2 linked regions of the Oreochromis niloticus genome follow. The protein of the gene in region 1 purifies or fractionates together with the protein of each later gene. This does not show direct contact. Links are inferred from orthologs where the notes say so. Each region holds a gene or a part of one and is shown on either strand. Other genes may lie near its edges. The genes, in order: uqcc1 and uqcc2.

Region 1 (11,440 bases):
CTACTCAAAACTTAATCTTCTGCCTAGTATAAGAATATAAATGGATAAAAGATCATAAAGAATAACCTGGTATAACTGTGTTGTAAGCGTGCATGCACTCCTTCCTCAGCTCTAGTCAACACCACAGTGGATTGGCTGATCATAGCGCCAGCCAAAGCTCTTGACCCTCAAATAGCGGATTGAGCCACAACTCCTTTAACACAGCACAGAATGCAATGTGTATAAAATGAACATAAAATGATTATAACTAGTCCTTTAGCACGGGTTACAAATTGCCAGTATGTTTGCTCTTCTCAATATATTCTGAAGCTATACCTTGTTAATACAATATGTATGCTGCTGGTTATATGATAACAAAAACATTTTCCTTATCTCCACAGCTGCCACCCACAAACAGAAGGTTTGAGCAGCGGATGGGCGGGGCTTGAGTGTCGAAGATGACTGAGGGTGCTCTCTCTCAATGATACTTCATGGATTCAACAGTTTAAAATTACATCTAAAACTAATTGTTCAGAGCACTCTGCCCTGAGTGTAAGGGTTACGCTGACCTAATGCATGGTTGAAATCGCTACATCAAAGCTGCTAGTAATAAATACCTTTAGCTTCTGTGAAATACACCAAGTGTGATCAAAACGCTCTGAAGCCCGTCAAAAACCTTAACTGATTTAAATTTGGTTAATCACTCATTCAAGATCATCGTATGCAGGTCCAGACTGAATTTTTACCACAGACCCCAAACTTCTGTTTCACACTGAAGCACATTTTGTGAAGGATCACTGGTGTTTAGAGCCGGGTGGAAATGTGTTGATTTGAAGAGTCCTCATTCTGCAGACAGCTGGTCAGGTAAGGAGTGATACTGGGAGGATACTGGCCGTTATTTCCAACATTCATCAGGTTGTGAAGTCCTCAGAGTCCCACCGTGACATCCTGAGGCATCAGAAGGAGTGCACTCAGGCCTGAGCTGTGGTGCATGTTAGAGTGCCATCTCATGCCAGACGTTTAGACATGCTGGAGGAGATCCAGCAGCCAGCGCAGAGGCACAGATAACAGCTGACTGTGAGATCTGAAAACAGCAGCCACACCAAACACAGCTCAGAGGTGCACGAGTAGATGATGTAAGCAGATTGAAATCAGGGTTCGGGTTCGTATTTTATACTTTTTTTCCGTACTTTGGGATCCCAAAAGTCGTTCAAGCGTTTAATCTTCTGAGTTTTTGCTACTTTCTGCAGTTAAGAGCCAAACGGAAGACAACAAACCAATTAAAGCAAACTCTTCACTTTTCATGCTTTTTCTCCCCGCACATGCTAAGCAGTGTGGCTGTTTGTCCACTTTACAAAACCAAACCATAACCAGGAGATTAAATCAAAGTTAACACATAAACAGCTGCCTCACCAGTTGAGCTTAGTTTTACCTTACCAGGGTTTCGGTACCTGAGGTTAGTTTCAGCTATAATCAGTGCACCGTGTCTCAGTGTGTATCCCTCTCAGATTGGTGGAGAAAGGAAGAAAATCACCAAGTTGGTCAAAGCAGTGAGAGAAGCTTAAAGGTTCAGTGCACAGACCCCCCAGGAGGACCCCCATCTGACTGCATTTATAAACTTTTTCTGAGTGTACTTTCATTCTTTTCCAGATCCCATTACTGTACAGCAGCGTGTGCTTAATTCAGCCGTTTTCATTAAGAAGTTAATTGCCTCTGAATCTAATCTAGAGCTGCAATCATCTGTTGCAGGTCAATTTAATGGCTCCTGTATTTTAGTGCTAAAAAGGTTCTTAATGGGCCTGACTCTTTCAGACCGAGGCCATGTGGGAACAAGGTGCTCGCACTCCGGTGAGACGTTCATGACTCCTTGTCCTGCAGTGAGAGCAGCTGATGGAACAGAAACACACAGCATGAACACACACTTTACTACGTGCCTCTGAGGAGAGGCAGGACCTGTGTGTGTGTGTGTGTGTGTGTGTGTGTGTCTGAGGAGAGGCAGGACCTGTGTGTGTGTGTGTGTGTGTGTGTGTGTGTGTGTGTGTGTGTGTGTGTGTGTGTGTGTGTGTGTGTGTGTGTGTGTGTATTCATATACTTGTGGGGACCAAGATCCTGGTCCCAACACGTTTGAAGGCATTTTTGTGACTTAAAATGTGATTTTAGTGTCAGGGTTACAGTTGGGTTACGGTTAGGCTTAGAGTAAGGGTTAGAGTTAGGGACTAGGGAAACCATTATGTCAATTAGATGTCCCCACCAGATATGAATATCTGAAGTGTGTGTGTGTGTGTGTGTGTGTGTGTGTGTGTGTGTGTGTGTGTGTGTGTGTGTGTTTTATATGGGCTCAAAATGTGGTCATAAATATTTTGTACTTGTAAATCAGTTTTGTACTTGTAAATCAGGATTTGTATGTGTAAAAAGAATTTGTGCGTGCGTAAAAAAGATTTGTATTTGTAAAAAGAATTTGTGCGTGCGTAAAAAAGATTTGTATGTGTAAAAAAGATTTGTGTGTGTGTAAAAAAGATTTGTATTTGTAAAAAGAATTTGTGCGTGCGTAAAAAAGATTTGTATGTGTAAAAAGAATTTGTGCGTGCGTAAAAAAGATTTGTATGTGTAAAAAAGATTTGTGTGTGGACTTAGCTAAAAACCCCCCTGCACATACAAATCTTTTTTACGCACGCACAAATTCTTTTTACACATACAAAACTGATTTACAAGTACAAAATATTTATGACCACATTTTGAGCCCATAGTTTTAGACCATGTTAAAATGTTTCATATTGCTAAATAAAAACCCAATGATTATAGAGAGAGAACCTCAACAGTCAGACGATGACCTGTGACCCTGTGAGGAAGCACTTGGAAGATAAGATAAGATAAGATAAGATAAGATAAGCCTTTATTAGTCCGACACATTGGAAACCAGTGAGAGAAACAAAAGAAGAGACCTCCAGCATAACCAGGCTCAGGGAGAGCCAGCCATTTTCTGAGAGGAGAAAATATGTGCAAATACATGGAGCCTGAAAAGAGAGGAGTGAAGAAGTTTTCAGTCCTCCAGCAGCCTGAGTACAAAATACAAAGTCCTTCCAGAAACAAGGTTCACCACTCTGCAACCATCCTGAACTGCTTCTGGCCACATGAATGTATGTGTACAATCAAATCTGATCAAACAAAAGTACTTGAAATGTTTTCTAACTTTATCCAAACTCTGGCTTTTATAAAGCTTTTCATCCATCCATCCATCCATCCATCCATCCATCCAGGGTATTCCAGTCATCTATTTCCCTTCTAACCTGGCTCCTGGTGATTCAGAAGGTACTGCTATTAGACAAGACACATAATCTCTTTTCTCTCATTTGGGACAGAGCACCTCCAAGGCAAAGTGCCAGGCAGCATTTTAATCAGATGGCTGGCTCGTCTCGACATGAAGGAGAAGCAACTCCACTCCAAGCTCCTTCCAGATGTCTGGCGTGTTATCCTCCAAGGCTGAACCCAGCGACCCTACGAAGGAATTCATTTTGGCTGTTTGCATCCACAACCTCATTCTTTCAGTTACTACCATGAGCTCATGACCACAGGTGGGGACTGGCGTAGATTTAGATTTGATAGTAAAACAAAAGCATCACCATCCAGCTAAAATCCTTCTCCACCATGATGGCCTGATACATCTCAAGCGCCACTTTCCCATCGCCTGAAAACATCATACAACATACCTGAACTCGGTCACTTTGGGCAGCAACCCAGAGGAGGCCATCCATTCTCTTATCATCTGGAAGTAAACGACCATCTTTGGTCTTACAGAGCTCACCCACCGATTTGACTTCAGGACTCTCTGAGCACCGTGTCTCTTTGTAACAGTTTCGCTGGCTAATAACAACATAACCAAAGGTTGAGTCCAGATCACCTGATCCAGGACTAAGTATAAAATTATCAAAATGGAAAAGTCTTTCAAAAAAGAGAGGGTCTGTCTCCTAAAACTGGAATATTGTGCTAAAGCTCAAGAGTTATGTTCCTAAACCTAATCTAAATCTTAAACTTAAACTAAGCTTATTCGGTTCTTCAGTGAACGTGACAGCAGTATGCTTCAGGTCCTCCAAAGGAAGTCGTTCCCTTTAACGTGACTGTGTAAACAGACTTCTGTCCCCACAACATGAGTAATACAAGAACACAGACGCAGTGTATCGCAGGCAGGATGGCGGCGTGGCAGCCATTATTTATGTCTGCTTTCTTTAGCGAGGTTTCTCACAGAAACAGGAGCCGAGCAGGAATCCAGCACTTCCTCTCCGCCTGTCATTTATCACTCTTTATTAATACAAAAACGCACAAGCGCAGACACAGACAATCACACAAAAAACAAAAAAGCGTGTTTGGACTGTGCCCACCTCCAAAAAGTGAATGCACAAGTGGAATATATTATCTCATCCACAGGATACCTGCTGCGTCTCTACAGGCATCGCAGGGTTGGACCGTATCATTTTAAAGAGCGGATGCTCATTTAGTTCTCGTGTAAACCAGCGTGTGTGCTGGCATTTCCTAAAGTCTAAGCATCTGAAGCATTTAAACCTTCAGTCTCTGACCTAAGCCTAACGCCACCCTAACTAAACCTGAAACTACAGTTCATTATAACATTAGATAATCTTCTATTTTTATTTGTGAAACCAGAAAACATTAGGGCTTAAAACACCCATTAATAAGCCTGTGTTTGCAGCTAAATCAGGCCAGATTGTTAATACACTCCCGAAGGTTTTTTTAACCTTTTCCCTACAGTTAATAATCTGCATGTCTTCCCTCAGGTTAATAAACAATTACGCTTTTTATTCATTTGTTTCCAGTTTATAAAAATTTCCCGTCAGTTCATTAAGACATCGCTTATCTCTCACTTATCCAGTTCAGGAGGGAGGGGTCCCATCAATGCTGAAAGGTACACAGAGGATTTAAAACAGCATAAGTCTGAACCTGATCACACCTTTTTCAGAGAAGGCTTTCATATTTTAGCCGGATGATGCTAAACCACAGACGGCATCCGGCAGCTCAGCTTCACAGCAGAAGAGTGCCTGCAGTCCAGACCTTTCACCAGCTGAGAACATCTGGAGCATCATGGAACCAAAGGCAGGACAAAGAAGAGCCAGGACTGCTGAGCAGCTAGACTCCTCCATCGGACCAGAATGGGACAATATTCTTCTCCTGGAAGTCCAGATGTTCACAGACTGTAGTTAAAAGAAGAGGGGATGCTGCACAGTGGGAAACATGGTTTTAGAGACAAGCAGTTGCTATGAAGTTCAAAATGAGCTCATATTTTTATAGAAATTGAACATTTTCTCATCTTTTCTATGTGCTATTGTTTATAGAGTGAGATTTGTAAATCACTGGATTCTACTTTATTTACATTTTAAACAACTTTTTTGGAATTGGGGTCTGACCGGCAGTCTGTTGGATTTGGAGTAAGTTCCTTGGAGGGAAATTGGAAGATTTAGATCGAGTGTGTGTGTGTGTGTGTGTGTGTGTGTGTGTGTGTGTGTGTGTGTGTGTGTGTGTGTGTGTGTGTGTGTGTGTGTGTGTGTGTGTGTGTGTGCGCGCGTGTTGTCAGGTGAGGTCAGCGCAGGGAGGAAAACTTCAGACTGACTGCAGAGGAAGCAGAAACCAGACCTGGCCTCTCCGGCTCGTTTGTGTCTCATAACTCAGCGCTGCAGTATTTTTGTAAGAGTTGGTGTTCAGCATCGATCTGACGCCGCTGATTTCATTTCCTCCGTGAAAATCCACTCGACCTTCCACTTTTCCCTCTTCACACCCTTTTCCTTCTGTTTCTCTTTGTCTTTTCTGGACTCCTGTTTGTCTTTCTTCTGAAGGAACACTTCATTTTCTGGCCTTGAACAATATTTGTCCTCTCTCACGTTCAGGCTGAGGTGTCGACAGTGCAACTCTCTGCTGAAGGTTACCGTTAATGATTGTGACCTTCTAACTGCAACACGACAGAAACCCCCGCACACACAAACACTTCCAGCTGAGACACGGGAAAAACTGAAAGTGATGGAGGGGCAACTCAAACATTACCTCAGCTGTTGTGTCCACAGAGAACATGAGACTGTTTTTAAAGTCTTAATGTGTCCCACTGATGTTTTCACTGTTTATTGGCTCTAACTACAAAGCAAGTTTGACCGAGAGGTAATCGGTTTCCTTGTCAAAGACTTTTTACAGATTTAAAGAATAATAATGGTTTATGTCAGCCTGCTGTTTCATCCTTGAATGTGACTTTGGTGGGAAATGTTGCATCACTGCAGTATTCCTGGAAGGAGAGCTCTAACCCAGTCATGAAAATCCTATTTTCTGTGGGATGGAAAGCAAACATTTAAAATTATGAGTCCAATTTATTTTAGCCCAGCCAAAGGGCTTATAAGCTCGTGCTATGGTGAGACATTTGTTTGTCCATCCCTCCACAGACCTCCTGGAGGATTGGTCAAAGCTTACACACAATGATAATAGGTCTTCGCTGGAAATGCACTCAAGGTCAAGGTCATATTTGTCGTTATCAGTAGATTTAATTCTTACAAAGCTTGTTATCCTCCGGTGTACAGTTACTTTGCTCTTTGTGGAATTACAATAAAAATGTTTGTTTATGAGCATTTGGTGACAGTGGGAAGGAAAAACTCCCTTTTAACAGGAAGAAACTTCCAGCAGAACCAGGCAGGGCGGGGCCATCTGGCCTTACTTTTTGTGACTTTGTAATATATATATATATATATATGTATATATATATATATATATATACATATATATATATATATGTAGATAGATATATGTGTGTGTGTGTGTGTGTGTGTGTTTGTGTGTGTGTTTATATGTATTTGATTGTATTTTGTTACCTTATTAAGATGCTTTTTTGCTAAATTGTGATTTTTGTTGTTATCCAATGTCTATTTCTTATTCAGCACTTTGTGTTTTATTGAATTTTTAACCGCTGTAAGAAAAAAAGGCGTTTTGGGGTTAGGACACCTTATCTTATCTTATCTTATCTTACCCTGATATGCTTGAGCTTAGCGCTTTAAGTATACTTTCACTTGAATGGTATTTTTGCAGTGCAGTGTTCCTGCTTAACTTCAGTGAAGGCTCCAAGTTCTTTTTCCAGCAATGAAAGATTCAACTTTAATCGGAGCGGGTTAAAAGCGGACCTTTTCTTCACTTTGTATATTTCTACCCGGACACTATTCAGTGCCGGACAGATTCCGTTGACATTGCTGCTGTTACCAAACCAGAAGGTTTCAGTGCAGGGAGGTTCCGTGAATCTGCAGCCCGCTTCTCGGCTCTAACAGCGGGTCTTCGTGCAGTCATGTACCGGCGGCCGCTGCAGTTCGCCGCCAGAAGCGTCGCTCATGTGTCCGCCTGCAGGGCCGCCTCCGCCGGGGGCAAGGTAAGAAACGCCTCGCTGGCGTTAGCTTAGCCGGCTAACAGGTGAAGAAGTTGAGGCTGATGTTCGAGGTGACAGCCGGGTGAACACACAGCGACAGGTGACGGAGTGAGCGCTCATTTGTCTCCGTGTGTGTTTGACTTTCACACGGACGGCCTGCGAGCTCCATTAGCAGGATTAATGTCAGAGCTCAGATTAATGGAGGCGAACTCGACCAAAGACTCGCAGTAACAGCTCGAAAGTGCGGCTTTCTTTACACCGAGCACAGAAACACTACATCACACGTTCAAACCGAGGCTTCTGTCATATATGAATAATAAAGTGTTTGGCACCCGAGATAATGAAATTACTCTGTAAAGGACCAGCGTCATCAGTCACGTGTTCGAGCTTCGTTTTGGTCCAGATATTTTAATGGGTCACCGAACCATAGACTGTATGTAAATGATGGACGTGTCAGCTGTTTGTGTTGTCTGTATGTTATAGCCTCTGTGTTATTGTGTTGGCATGTTGATGATGATGATTATGATGATGATGTTTTTAGGAGGTAGAAGTGAACGAGGGTTGAGTGATAGGCTGTATCCACAAACCATGTGGGTGCAACAAATAGACCAGTATAGACCGTCCAATGGTTTACTGACAAAAACTGGAGCAGAGTAAAATATGACAAATAATGTGGCACAGCAGCCATATTATTAATCAGATAACTGCATTAAAAGGGCACAAACATGGTCCAGAAGTTCAGTTCAGGGACTCGTCATCTAGTCAGCTGATCCAAATGTGAGAAAACAATAAACTGAGCACAGTGGACTAGGTTACATTTCGGAGAGGTGCTGTTGTGTGTCAGGCCTGCGCACCAAGGTGCCGCTGCACTATAATAAAGTGAGGATAACTGACTACTACTTTTAGTGCTGACTAGCAAGAGCAGCAACATTTAAACTTGAAGCACAAGTTTGGACATTAATATCAGAGTCTGAGGGTCCAGGGTGTCTTCAGCACGCGGGCTCTTTTAATACATGCAGGATGTTTGGGCATCGTCTCGCTGAAGTAAGCAGTGCTTTACCTGGAAAAAGACTGGAGCGCAGTAAATATTATTGTGAAGTCTGAAATACTATTTGGCATAAATGGTGCCTTCACAGATAAGCAGACCATCAGTCCGTCACAGGTGCTGGTTTTTGAGCTGTGGGAAGTGTAGGGTTGCTTTTTGGTTATTGATTATTCAGCTCACAGGAAAGGTGACCCCCTCATGTCTGATCATCTTAAATGCACTCGGGACCCAGAGGAGGTGGCCCCACTTTCTCAGTCTTGTATGCATTTCTTTCTGAGTGTGGTGAAGTTTTATTTTGGCACCGCTTTGAAAGCTCGAGGTGTTTGTCTTCTGCCACAGGCCTGGCTGATACAGTCTGTGACAGAGGCTTTAAGCTGCACCCTGAATGAGCTCTTTGCACATGTGCAGTACAGCATCTGTTTCAAAAACCACCATTTAAAGCAACAACCAGATAAAGACCTAAAGGTTCTTTAGGTACTAAATGTTTTTGAGAATTGAACTAAAGCTTTGCCAGCGGTTGTGTTGTTGCTTGCAGATGTTGACTGCTGTGCTGTTGAGGTTTGATATTTGTTTTTCGTTCCCTCAGTATCTCTTTGACACAGTATGTAGGAGTTTATGCTTTCAGCTCATAGCAGTGGTCTCTTCGTTCTCTTTGAGCTTTAGTTTATTTTGAAAGGTTTTAAATTACATCATGTTTTTACAAATCTGAATGAACTTAATCAGATCAATTAATCAGATTATTGTTGCAGGTCTTTTTACTCAGTGAAGTTGGGTGGTGCAGAGACTTAATCAGTTTTTATTAAGGTGTAAAATGTTCACTCAGGAAAAGCCTGTCCAGCTGTCAGAGGGTTAACGAAGGATGTTTCTGTGCAGTCCAAACAAAAAATGCTAAAGGGTGATGAAAACTGGCTATAGCTGGTGAGAACAACACTGAGCTGTGATGTGAAGATCACTGCTGTTAGTGGGAGACGAGCAGGTGTTTGATCCGTCTTTAAAAACAAGTCGACAAATAAAACGGTCGATTGTTTGTGTTCAGCTGACTTAACTTCTCTCTCCTTGCAGGCGTTGGATCAGGAAGCCTGTTTCAGAGCGCTGGCCGCCTGTCAGCAGGCAGGCGTCTCCTCTCCGTTAGTAACGCCGTGCCGGACGCTGCATGTCGCCACACAGGTAACACCGCACGCAAGCACATGAACAAATAGCTCTCATTGTTTAACCCACAGATGGACTGCTTAAAAACACCTGTGCAGCAGCTCTTTTGTCCCAGCGGCTGGGCCACCGATATGCCCAACAGAAAGCACAAAAGAAGGGGCGCTCTCTGTTTTATTAGCTTTTCTGATTCTTAAAATAAGAATTAATATATACTCTTTGCCGATAAATAACACTTTTGTCTTCACTCGGTCAATTCCAGCTCCATCATCTCGGGGGTATTTTGCCTCCTCCTGAGTGCAGTGGGTACAGTTTGCCCCTGCTATCATCGATGCGTCCCTGCATCTGCTAAATGATTTTTATCCCTTTACACCTTTTATTATCTCTGTAAAAGTGTCCACTAGCTAAACAACATGTGTCTGTTCACATTTTCTGCTTAAATAAAAACAAATAAACTGTAATTTCTCTCCTTAAAGGTTTGATTATTCAGCCTGTAGTTTTACACACCTGCTTGGATTTCAGGATTATTTTAAGGAATTCTGAGTTCAGTCGTGTCGTATCCGTGCCTTTAAAGCACTTCCTGCCTGCTCCGTGTATTCGAGGCTTCAATGAAGCTTCAAAACTGGGAGAAAACTTCAGCACATCTGCACGTCCTGATGAAGGTTAGCGGCTTCGTGGTGGCTGTAATAAAACTGTCAAAGACGGCGTGCAGCTCGGAGTAGGTCAGCGTATTAATTTAGTGAGCGGTAAAGGTTGCGCCGCACAGGTGCGTCGTCACGTGCTGTTGATTTAACGAGGGTCACGCAGCACACGTTTGATATCCCACCTGCTAAAGGAGCATTTTCTGTTTTCGCTGCTGTTTTTTCACCGCTCCACTTTTTCTTTTTGTCCTTCAGCTCCGTAACGTGAAGGAGACGCGTCAGCACACGGAGGAGGAGGTCGGCGCCTTCACAAAGCTCATCGAGGCGATGGGCTTCACGGGACCGCTCAAATACAATAAATGGGTGAGTGCAGAGGGTGAGATGTGGGCTGAAAACGAGCATGAGGGGTTTTCGGCCAAGGTGACATTGCTTCATTTGATGCGTGAAATCAACGTGAGCACTTAGTGTCATGTTAAATTTAATGTGCCTCCAAGGCCACCTGTTACCTGCTGACGTGTCTGTTCTGCACTCGAACAACCTTTCAGTCAAAAGCATCATGCTAACCTCCTTTAAACGCACCTTCTGATGAATGTGTGCCACCCTGATTGGTCAACCAGTAACAGAAACAAACGTGTCGGGTCAGACGTTTCTACCTGTACGGCCAGCGCAGCGTTTCACCTCCTGCTCTCTGTGGTTGAATAAAACCAAACTGAACTTGGACACAACAGAGTAATAAAACATTTGTTATGGAAGATGTTGCATGCAGAAGGCCAAAAATACTAATAACGTCACTGCAGTGGGAGTGATATTCACCAGAGGTGTGTGTGTGTGCACGTGCATGTGCGTGTGGCTTTCATTCATTGCATCACACTCTTGTAGTCGGTATGGTTTCCAGGAATGCACAGGTCATTAAAGGAATAAACAGTTGGCGCGGTGGCAGGCTTCGGTGATGTGGGAGGTTTTGGCGGAAGGTGGAAAGGTTGCGTGTGTGCTGAGGAATGTCGGGCGAGCAAAGAGCTGGGCCGCACGCCGGGGCAGCGTTTGGCTCGCATGCTGGCACACCTCCGAACTCGTGTCCTGCTCCTGCGCGTGTTTACTCTACAGATGAAACCGCCGTCGGAGACGCACAGATCAGCCTTAAATCCCAGAATAATCCCACAGAAATGCGTGCTCGCTGTTGTTTAATGAAACCTGTTGGCGAGTCGCTTTTCCAGCTGAAAGTTGCTGAACCAG
Region 2 (11,238 bases), about 17 Mb from region 1:
TACAGTGAAGCAGGACAAATGGACAGAGACGTTACCAGTGAATGGAGCCCTGGTAACTTTCAAACTGGACACAGGAGCCAAGGCTAATCTGGTGAATGAGTTGGATGTGAAAGCAATGAAAACGAAACCCACATAACTCCTATCAACACAATCACAAAAGCTAAAAACGATTCAATGTGACTGTGTCATCAAATAAAAATTTCTTAAGCTAAAAGATACAACTAAGACTACAGCTCCCAGACTACAACGCGGCTGTGTTTGGTGCTACCATCAAATAGGTATTTCCTGTTCCTGCCAATGTTATCTCATAAGTGATTTGCTGTGTTATTCAACAACTCGTTTTAGCTGGTGACACTTTCTGCTGCTGCTAACTTCACTGACTGTAACTACCGCTGTAAGTCACTAATAAGGTAAACCAGCTAACGTGTCAAGCTAACTGTTTAAACGTGTGTCAAAAGAAAGTGTTGTTAAATCTTCTTACTCTGTTTCGTGTTTTTATTTGACATATTCGGTAAAACTTAAAAACTGTATAATAAAAGTATAATAAGTGCATTATAAGATAGTAAGCAGGTAATTTTCTTTTATTTGACGTGGGGAAAAGCAAACAAAAAAAACATGGTGTCAAAAAGTGTGTTTGTTTAACGTCTGCTTGCAGATGATGAGGCTGCCATGGCGGGTCCTGGCTCCACACACAGCACCTGTAAGGAGAGCCTCCTCAGTCCCTGCAGGGCTGATGAACTTTGTCCCCGCCTGCAGCACCACCGACGCCCACTCACTGGAGCTGCTGCAGGACTTTGTGACCCGAGCCAGACGCCTGTTTGTCATCACCGGAGCGGGTCTGTCCACGGAGTCGGGCATCCCCGATTACCGTTCAGAGGGCGTCGGGCTGTACGCCCGCACTGACAGACGACCCATGCAGTACGCAGAGTTTGTCCGCAGCGCAAAGTCCCGTCAGCGCTACTGGGCCAGAAACTTCGTCGGATGGCCGCAGTTTTCCTCCCACCAGCCGAACTCTGCACACAAGGCCCTGCAGCGGTGGGAGGACAGGGGCAAGCTGCACTGGCTGGTTACGCAGAATGTAGATGCTCTTCACTCAAAGGCGGGTCAGAAGAGACTCACAGAGCTCCACGGCTGTGCCCACAGGTGAGAACGCATAAACTCACATATGCATCATAGACAATAAGCGTCAAATAAGAAGTAATGGCAGTGTTACAACAATACAATACAATGTACTGTATAAACACTACTTATTTGTGAGCAAAAGCCATGCACTGAGAATGCCATGTAGGTAAAAGTTTCCAGGTGTCATTGGCAAAATGTTGGATTACTTTAGTGATGTTTTCATGTACAATCACCACTATATTCTGCAGTTCTGTGAAAAGCATTTACCCCCTTCCTGAAAAACTGACTTCAGTGTCACAAATCGACTCAATATATCATGCCACGATCCAAAGAAACTCAAGAACAGCTGAGAATCACTGACATCCATCAGTCTGTAAAGGATTACAAAGCCGTTTCTAAGGCTTTGGGACTCCAGACATTGGTTTGGTGACAGTAATTAAAACACACACCCTGCATCACCAGGAGTTATTAGGAAATGCTGTCTGTTTGCATGTTAACTGACTAGAAGACATTTTTTGAGTATGAAATATGGGCATCCTCAGGGTCACGTGCCTTGGCTGTGGTGCCATCTCAGCACGGGAGGAGCTCCAGAGGCGATTTATATCTTTAAACCCAGAGTGGCGAGCTCAGGCTGGCGCCGTGGCCCCAGACGGAGACGTCTTCTTGGAGGATGAGCAGGTCCTCCATTTCAGAGTTCCCTCCTGTGATGACTGCGGCGGGATACTGAAGCCTGAGGTCACGTTTTTTGGAGACTCCGTGAACAAAGCAACTGTGCAGTTTGTGCACGAAAGGCTGGCAGAGTCGGATGCGGTGCTCGTTGTGGGGTCATCTTTACAGGTGGGCCTTGGATAAACTAGTAAACCAGTTTGTTAGCGTTCAGCACACTGTTTCTTGACTGAATACGTTGTTCCTCATTGATGTTTCTCAGGTGTACTCAGGATACAGGTTTTTACTGGCAGCGAGGGACAGGGAGATGCCGGTCGCCATCCTGAACATAGGGCCCACCCGAGCAGACCACCTGGCTGAGCTGAAAGTCAGCGGCCGCTGCGGGGAAGTGCTGTCAGTCATTCAGCCGCTCTGACTGACCGCAGCCTAAAAAGCTTGAAGTGCTCTGCTGGTTAGGTTAAAACTACCTCAGATTTATGGAAACAGTTGCTCTCTGTTGTTACACGCTGTATGCAGGTGACTGAATGTTAATAATTGTGAGCTATAAATGTGTCAGACTTGAATCCAGCTGATCTTCATACAGCAGGTTGGTGTCAGGGAGCTGAAATCCTGTCTCTGCAATCAAATGTCAACCTACCAGGAAAACAGAAAGACTGTGCTTTGTTGTGTGATTGTTGGTTTTAGGTTGAAATAATAATGGCATGCAGGTCAGATGTGTGAAGTGAAATGAAAATTTGCAGGCTTGAAGAAAAACAGAGGTACCCCGTTTTCTTCCTCAAGCTCTTTTCACTTTATAAATGGACTGCATTCATGTAGAATGTCTTTTCAAGTCTTATCAAACACACAAAGCACCATCACTAGGTACTGACGACACCTTTGGAATCAAACGCTCTTATTCTGATAAGACAAAAACACACATGGTGGCTGCTCTTATGTCGATGGGAAGATGCAATATAAATGTTTATTTTCATGTTCTGCCACCAGATCTGTTTTAAAAGGTGCAATTTGTTCTTCTTCCTTTTTTTAATTATGCAATACTCAGATGGTTAGTATTTTGATTGATTTTAAATGCTGCCATATTCATTTTAATCAGTTTTTGTGAATTTCAGTTTAAAGTAGGTTGAATTAATATTTTTTCAGGCTGGATTTTAAAGTGGCATTATGCTGTCTTTTTAAGGTTATGTGGTGAAAACTTTCTGTAATAAAATATTCAGAAAATAAGAGTTGTTTTTTTTTAATTTATTATCACACTTGCAAGATGGAAATATTCATCATTAAAGAAGTCTCAAACCTTGGTGTATCAAACATAAGGCCCAGGGGCCAGAATCAGATAACAAAGATTCCAATCTGGTCCTGCATGACTTTTGAAAACACGAAGAATGTAAAATTTTGGACTGAATGTATTTTCATAAGTTTTCATGCTGATAAAGAGCTCCCTCATTGCTATTCATACTACACCAAAGTAATTAAGCAGTAGATAACAATGAAATTACAGAACATTTCCTGTATAATACAGAAATGTCTGTCTTTTACAATGTGTGCATAGTAAGAAAAAAATCTGAATTAACAGAGACTTTCTCTTTTCTAATTACAAAGTAGTCTGAGCATGAGGCTACCAGATCTTTTTCTGTAACATTTATCTCCCAACTTAAGCCTGAAGAGACGTGCTGACAGATTTTTCCATTAACTACAGCAGCATTTCTGTATCCGTGGAAAAACTGAGATATGCTGTAGAAATCGCACTGCTTTTTCTGATATTAACATGTCTCAGAGATTAAACGTGTAGTTAAACTTTACACTGACAGAAAGTGGAGTTTCACTGTTGCGGCCCGCTGAAGATCAGAGTGGGCTGTATGTAGTTTGACATCCCGCTCTAACAAAACACCTTTTTCTCACACTAGTCTTAACCTGAGTTATGTATTGTCAGGTCATGTTGCATTATAGTCGGTATTTTCATGAGTGAGGTCAATAACAATATAGTTAACTCTGATCAGGTGGTCTCCCTCTCCTGGAACCTGCCGCCCACGTCAATAACCCAACAGCTGTTTTGACAGTGTTTATTACAGTCATAAATAATCAAACATAACCCAGAGCATTTTGCTTTAAAGACAAAATTACATCATGTTCACAAACAAACCGAGGGCAGTGTGACTACAGATTGATTAATCGTGAGATCTTTCAGGAGGTTTTGCTGCTCAAATCTCTGCTGCAGACGGAGTTTCCAGGTCTCCAGGTCAGACTTTATCTCCTCTTGCAGAGCAGCTGGGACGCTGAAGGAATACAGACAACATCTGTGAGCTGCAGTATCTGGCTGCCATGTTGCTGAAGCCGTAACCACCGTGAGGGGAGTCATGGACAGACAGTTGTCGAAACTCTTCGTGTGATCAAACCAGTAAGTGACGGGGTAACCCAGTAACAGCCCAAACACAGTACACAGGTTCCACTCCTCACATTTCTCTCCGCCACTGAGAAGCCTCTCAACCTCGTCAAGCTGCTGCACCCCTCCCAGTAGAAGTAGTAAATCTTGTATCATGCACTTCAGGTCTCCCCTCAGCGGATCAGCGAGGGTGGGCGACTCCTGTGAGTGGCAGACATCAATCACGGCCACGCTGCTCCCCTCATGAAGAACCTGCTCTAGATTTGACTTGACTGTGACCGGATTAACAATGAGACCATTTCCATTTAAATCCAGCGTGAGCAGCGATTTAGACACAAGCTGGAGAGACTGCAAAGAGCTCAGATAGTGCTCCACTTGTTCTGCGCAGGCACCGTTAATATCGTACAGAACAGCAGGCTTCAATCCCAAATCTACAGCTGACACCTGAGCAGCCAGGTCCAGACTCTGAGGAGCGGAGAGGGACTTTCTACCAGCAGACAGATACTTACGAGCAGCAGCAACAAAGAGCTCTGAAGCAGACATGACTGCATAAAAATCACGTCACACAAGACTGAGGAGTCAAGCAGGACTAGAGATATTTCAATTTTAAGTAGCTGTTTAGCTGGAATCAAAGACAAAAAGTAAACTGCACAGTTGTAATCTACACTTACAAGAAAGGTTAAAAAAAAAAACAACAACTAACAAATGGTCAAACAAAAGGTCAATGGATGTAACACAAGTAAACCAGACAAAAGTTTTCAAACTAAAACTAGTCATAAAAACTGTTTCATGAGTTTATTTGTGTCCACTGTTTCTTCTTTGTTGGTCCAGGATGCCTAAAGGAGAAGAAACATGTCAGTCAGAATAATCTGTAGAAAAACAGCAGTTATTCGGTGATAAATGCATTCTGCTTTTGTTCATTAGAGGTGTGCACACAGATCACACCTCTCTCCAGCTCTAATAAAGAAGATAACCTCACCATCATCCTGGCTGTGATGTATTTGGGTCACGCTATGTCACTGGCTGAGGAGACATCAGGTCGAAATCGGAGAGATTTCTTGCAACCCAAACACCAGCTGCAAACAAGCCCAAATTCACCAGAAGATTCCTTAAAAAAATGAAAAAGAAAAAAGGTTTAAACAATCAGTAATGACATCAACAGCAACAACACCCTGTTCAACCTGTGGCTACAGGTTTTGCTGTGAGGGGAAACTGAGTAAACATAAATTTATAAGACCACAGGTATCTATAACCTCATCCATCTATTAATTTATATTCTTCTGTTTATCCAGAGCTAGGCTAGGCTAGGTCCTGGAGGCAGCAACCTAAGCAGAGAAGCTCAGACTTCCCTCAGACCACCTGCTCCAGGTAAAATGCCAAGGCTTTCCCAGGTCAGCTGAGCGATATAACCTTTCCAGCATGTCTTGGGTCTACCCCACAGCTATAGAGGGAGGGCATTTTTTTAAACATATATGAATATATAAATATATCTTATAGGCTTCCCATCACACCTAGTATATCAGGTACGTGGCATTCACCTTAATCCTAGGGGAGCCAATATTTTGGCATATTTGGTACACAGATGTTGAGAATTTTCTAGCTCTGACAGAAGAACCACACATTAAAGAAAAACAAAAACCCATCGCATGTTAATATGCAAACAATAGTAGGATCTTCCTCAAATCCGGTGTCCAGGTAATCCTACATAGGTTATAATGTGCTGCTGGGATCCAATTGCCTGAACAAATTGGCCACTAAACATTGACTAATTAGCTACCTGTCATACTGTATACATTAAGCTTCCTGATGCCCTTAGAGTAGAAACTATACTCTCCCTAAAGTTTGACAAAGTGGTTAATCGATTAGATTAGTCCATATCTTCTGTTCATTGATCAACAAACTAAAAATAACTATTACGCTGGTAATATTATCATACAACTCGATTAAACTGATGATCATAATTGTAATTGTATTGCCTGTTTCTTTAGTTATAGTGTAGCCTAGTGAGTGAGAGGACAAGGACAGACTCCTCCATTGGCACACCAGTGCTAACGCTAGCAACACGGCTAACCGCCCCAAAAACCCTCTTACTATCACTGCTGTCTGCTCAGTCTCACCTTCTGAAGTCGTTTCTATCTGTTGCGAATCGACAGGCCGAGCTGATCCACTCCATCACACCGGGGGAAGAGCCCTTTTTAGCGTTTGCCCCACTCATGTTGCTAACGTGCGTCCTGGGGGTAGGAAAAGACAACGGCAACGAGGGCGAAGAGTCAAGGGGGAAGGTTTTAGATGTTACACAACTACGGTGTGCGATAAAGCTCAAACCAAAACGTACGTCCTCCTCGCTCCACTCAGGACGTGCTGTTACATGACCAAAGATGTCTGCGACCAGGTACCGTCGGTTTCTGAAGCTGTGTGAGGAATGGCCCAGAGACGAGACCAAGAAAGGCCGCGACTTGGGGACATTTCTGCGGCAGAGAGTCGCCTCTGCCTTCCGAGAGGGTGAAAATACTCAGGTAATGAATTTTAGCTGGTAGCAACACACGGACTCCTCTCTGCTGTAAATAACCGAGGGAAGCTAAGAGGACAGCTTAGTTAGAAGAGCAAGCAGCTGACAACCTAATCCAAAGCAGATTTCTGCGAACTACAAGCGACCAGTATTGACATGTTTGAGCCACTAATGTCCATCACTCCACCGCTGGTTTCGCAGCTGGGTCAATTTGAAATCATCTGGTGTTTAGAAAATTTTCTACTCAACCGCCTCTGATTTAAAATTTGGACATTTGTAATGATTGCTTTGAAATTTTAGCTTCATATATCAACCAGTGCCAGTTCCTGAATAGTTTACAGTTGCATCTTACAATAATGAAAAACCAAATTAGTAGAATAGTTACTAACATTACATTTCTTAGTCACAAAACTGAAGAAAATGTTTTCATTCAACTTAAATGCCTCACTTGGTATACAAAAAAAGTATCTGAAATAATAAGGTAAAATTTCACAGCAATCATTATGTGTCTAAACTTTAGATCGTAAAGTATTTAAACAAATCTGAGATATTCAATGGATATATAAACCTGCTGGAACGGCGTCAATGGACCACCTTTCACAAATATATCTTGAAAGGTGTTTGATGTATAAAGCTAAAATTTCACAGCAGTCATTATAAATGGCCAAATTTAAAACCATAAAAAGTTTTTTGGTAAATGAGAGATGGTCGAACAGAAGGTCCACGATGATTTGAGATGGAATGACCCAGTTTGGATGCATCTTTTTTTTTTAAATAAATCTTGAAAATAAAAATAACTATCAGTGTTTGCAACCAACTAAACAGCCTTTAATCTGTTTCTAAAACATGAAATTTCTGAGAAGCCAACCATTTGAGCATTGTAAACCATAACATGTAAAAAATATAAGATATTTTGCCAAATAACAGTTGGAATAGGCTCCAGCCCACTACCAACTCTGAACAGGATAAGTAGTAACGAAAAGGAATGGAAAAAGATGGTTTTTGATAATCATAGGTGTTTGATGCCAGCAGAATCTTAGGTGCCAACAAAAAAACTCTAGTTTATAAATAAAGTTTACACTGACTCGCAGCACCATCTTGTGGTACAAATTGGCATTACACTGAAGTTTTACCCTGGCTCTAGTTGAATTTCACCTCCCATCTCTTAAACACAGTACAAGCATTATTTTGCCTTTTGATTCTGTACTGTGTGTGATCTGACCAATAAGAATTAGATTTAAAAAATGTAACCCACAGACACCAGAGAGATGGTGGCACAGTGATTATTTATTTTTATGATGGCATAGTAGAGCACAAGCGTATATAGCATGGCAGTGCATCGCACATCCTCATGCCTTTTTTACGGAAACCAAAATGACCTGTTTGGACTTTAAAGTTGATAATTAAAATAATGAGAATATTTTTTTTCCATTTAAAACATGTTGAGTGAGTAAAATCACATCTTAACCACTTCAATGTTTCCCCACTAGATCTCAGATCCTGAGAAATGTGATCAGATGTATGAAAGTCTGGCACAGATTAATGGCAACATATACAGACAGCGGGTAAGTACTCATGCACATATGTGAGGTGCATTTCAACTTTATTATATTTATTATATCATACGAAAAACACAGTGCCTTCCTCTGCTGTCGTTAACCAGACATCTGTCACCTAGCGAATGACTTCTCCATTCTTTAAGATTGTAAAGGTGTAGTTACTTTTTTTTTTTTTCTGTGTGGAGATGATAAAGTGTGTTTACATTAAGTACAAAGGTCTAAACAAGCACACGAGGTTAATGGTTAAAAATAGTTAACCTTTAAATTTGAACTATAAAGACAGCAAGTGTTCACGTAAGATCCAGAGATCAGCAGATAGTCTGTCTTCCTTCTCTGAGTTACTATAAATAGGGAAGTTTTACTTACTAAAAAAAAGATTTTTCTAGGAAGACTATTAATTTGGCACATTGTTTTAAGGGGAAATTTTCCTTGTGCATGTGAAATGCAGAAAATGGGAAGCTGACTCCTTCAAATACTGTGCACACCAAATTATTTGAGTACATAATGAACTTTTATATAATATTTGACTTTTTTCATTTTGAAAGAAATTCCTGTGTGAAAACTTGTCGAAGGCAATAAGAATTTTATTTTCTTTCTCTCTTCAGTTTCCTCGTGTGAGAGACACGAGCTTCACTGGAGTCACAGTGGAAGAGTGTAGATTACTTTTGTCAGGTATGGACTCGCATGTGCTGTCAATTCTCGGTTATTTACTAAACATAATGTTGTTATGAGGCCCCAGGAACTTGCTGTAACTTAGACCCAACTTTTACATTTTACAGGAACTATGCAAAATACGGACGAGGAAAAAAAGGGTCTGTGGAAGTCGTTAATGCAGAGATTCTCTTCTAAATCACCAGAAGACGTCCCAGAGAAACCTGCTGAAAAATAACTTTTTCTTCCAATCTTCTTTTCCTATATGTATAGAAATAAATCTTATTGTTATCATTTTGGACTCTTTTTTTAAAAAAAATATATATTATATTTATTTAAATTGTAGCTTTACAAATATTTTTGGATATATTTTGGTCCATATTGACATGACAGCATCACACAAATTTGTTGGCTGCACATCTATGATGAGTGTCCTGTTCCTCCACATCCCAAAGATGCCATATTAGACTGAGATCTGGTGACTGTGGAGGCCATTTGAGTTCAGTGAACTCACTTCCATAAGAAGCCAGTTTGAGATGATTTGAGTTTGTTATGCGATACATCATCCTCCTGAGACCAGCCTGAACTGTTGATACAAGGCAGCATGGAGACATGCTTTCATGCCATTCACACCAAATTCTGACCATCATCTGAATGTTGCAGCAGAAATTGAGGCCTATCAGACAAGGCAACATTTTTCCAGTCTTGTTCAATTTTAGTGAACATGTGAACTGTAGCCTCAGTTTGCTGTTCTTAGCTGACAGAAGTAGCAAGCAGTGTGGTCTTCTGCTGCTGTAGGTCAGCTGCTGCAAGTTTTGTGAATATTCGCTGGTTGGATATTGTTGAATCAAACTAAATATTTTTATAAGCCTTCACTGGCTGTGTGGTGGAAATAACCCACAGTCATCAGTTTGTAAAATAACACTAATCTGTTAAGACTGTAACACCAAACTTCAATTTCCTGGAGTTTTTCTATTAGTTCAGACTTGAATTTTTACATATGATAAGAAATCTTACATTTAAACAAGTCTATAAAAACAATGCTGAAAAACATTTGGTCTACATCACGGCTGTGAGTTGGCTCACCAGGCAGGATTTAATCAGTTAAGCTTGTGTCTGATTGAGAAATGCACCTGACCGTTAACTCAAATTATTTACTTGCAAAGCAAAAATGTTTCGTGGACTAGTTTACACAGTTTTATTATAAATTCACACTTTGAACATCGCTTCTTTAAGAAAAAAAGGTAAAAACTTTGTTTTAAACTGAACAACCAAAACTCCACATGATGGGGTGACTTAACTATTTTCAATGTAATCAGATATTCTGATCATATTACAGTTTTTCCTATTAGTAATGACATTTCTGACAATGCACTGAAATTCTTAAGGGATTTTTTTTTAAGGAACAAAATAAATTTATTAGAAGCAGGCTGTTATACAGTATCTAAGCAGATAACATAATGCCTGCTCAGATCTAAAGTACTGCAGATGTTAAAGGGGATACCACTATTTAGAAATGACATCTTTATTTATTTTTCTTCTTTTTATTTTGGGCAACATATACGCAAGTATTAGTAAGTCTGTGACCAGCCAACAAGGTCATAACAAAGCAGCTGGATAATAAAGTCAGAAGTTAAAAAGTGAGACTGACCTGTTTTTTTTATTAGTATTTTTTTTTTTTTTTTAATAACATTGTGTACGTGATTCAGAATATAAGTATGCTCTTCAAAACACACAGTCATGATCCCTACTCTTCTTTTTCCTCTGGGTTGTCTCTCCATATGCAGTAGTTGAGGCTAGTTGCAAGGCACAGCCAGCCCAGATAGGGCGCCAAGAGCATCGTGGCGGTGCGGCTGATGGGATACCAGGACATCATGGTGGCTCCAACAGTCCCAGTGAGAAGCACAATCTCAATGAGGGACTAAAAAGAACAGACAGAGGGCATGTCAGTGACAGCGATGTATACAACTACACTGCCACACTTACCACACCCCTAATTATTGGTGTCCAAATTTAAATTTACCCATTTCAGCTTGTGTGCACCAAAGAAAATGGGAGTCCAGGCCCAATTCAGAGCTAGCTGTGTCCCATAAAGCCCGAGTGGAACTAGTGCATCCTCAGTGAAACCTCCAAGCTCCTTCCACACCAGGTATGAACCATAGCTGGAAGAGAAAGACAAAAAAAAACAACAACAAAAAAAAAATCACACGAGATCATTAAGATAAGGAGGTTGCTTCACAGATAATGCAGAAATCAGTCACAATGTGCTTACCCCATGCCTGTGTACAGACACGTCCACACTACGGGGAATGCTTTGTTTGGTGGGCGCCACGATGGTTTCTTCAGGGTTGGGT

The links.
Region 2: the proteins of uqcc1 (region 1) and uqcc2 purify together in Homo sapiens (co-immunoprecipitation; 3 studies listed by BioGRID and IntAct, counting the BioPlex papers as one, with this or other methods). This does not show direct contact. The link is inferred for Oreochromis niloticus from reciprocal best matches to the Homo sapiens genes UQCC1 and UQCC2.

Annotation. Positions count from the first base shown.
Region 1 is NC_031970.2:3,098,997-3,110,436, forward strand, and holds the start of uqcc1 (ubiquinol-cytochrome c reductase complex assembly factor 1), read left to right. Parts: upstream 1-7,151; 5' UTR 7,152-7,297; coding exon 7,298-7,378; intron 7,379-9,482; coding exon 9,483-9,587; intron 9,588-10,462; coding exon 10,463-10,570; intron 10,571-11,440. UniProt on the Homo sapiens protein: Required for the assembly of the ubiquinol-cytochrome c reductase complex (mitochondrial respiratory chain complex III or cytochrome b-c1 complex). Involved in cytochrome b translation and/or stability.
Region 2 is NC_031970.2:19,765,264-19,776,501, forward strand, and holds uqcc2 (ubiquinol-cytochrome-c reductase complex assembly factor 2), read left to right. Parts: upstream 1-6,512; 5' UTR 6,513-6,543; coding exon 6,544-6,681; intron 6,682-8,164; coding exon 8,165-8,239; intron 8,240-8,838; coding exon 8,839-8,905; intron 8,906-9,012; coding exon 9,013-9,122; 3' UTR 9,123-9,178; downstream 9,179-11,238. Other genes in the region: sirt4 (NAD-dependent protein lipoamidase sirtuin-4, mitochondrial), read left to right, coding at 656-1,143, 1,665-1,959, 2,051-2,203; lg5h1orf74 (UPF0739 protein C1orf74 homolog), read right to left, coding at 3,914-4,708; tomm6 (mitochondrial import receptor subunit TOM6 homolog), read right to left, coding at 5,177-5,273, 6,283-6,380; tspo (translocator protein), read right to left, coding at 10,632-10,805, 10,908-11,046, 11,157-11,238.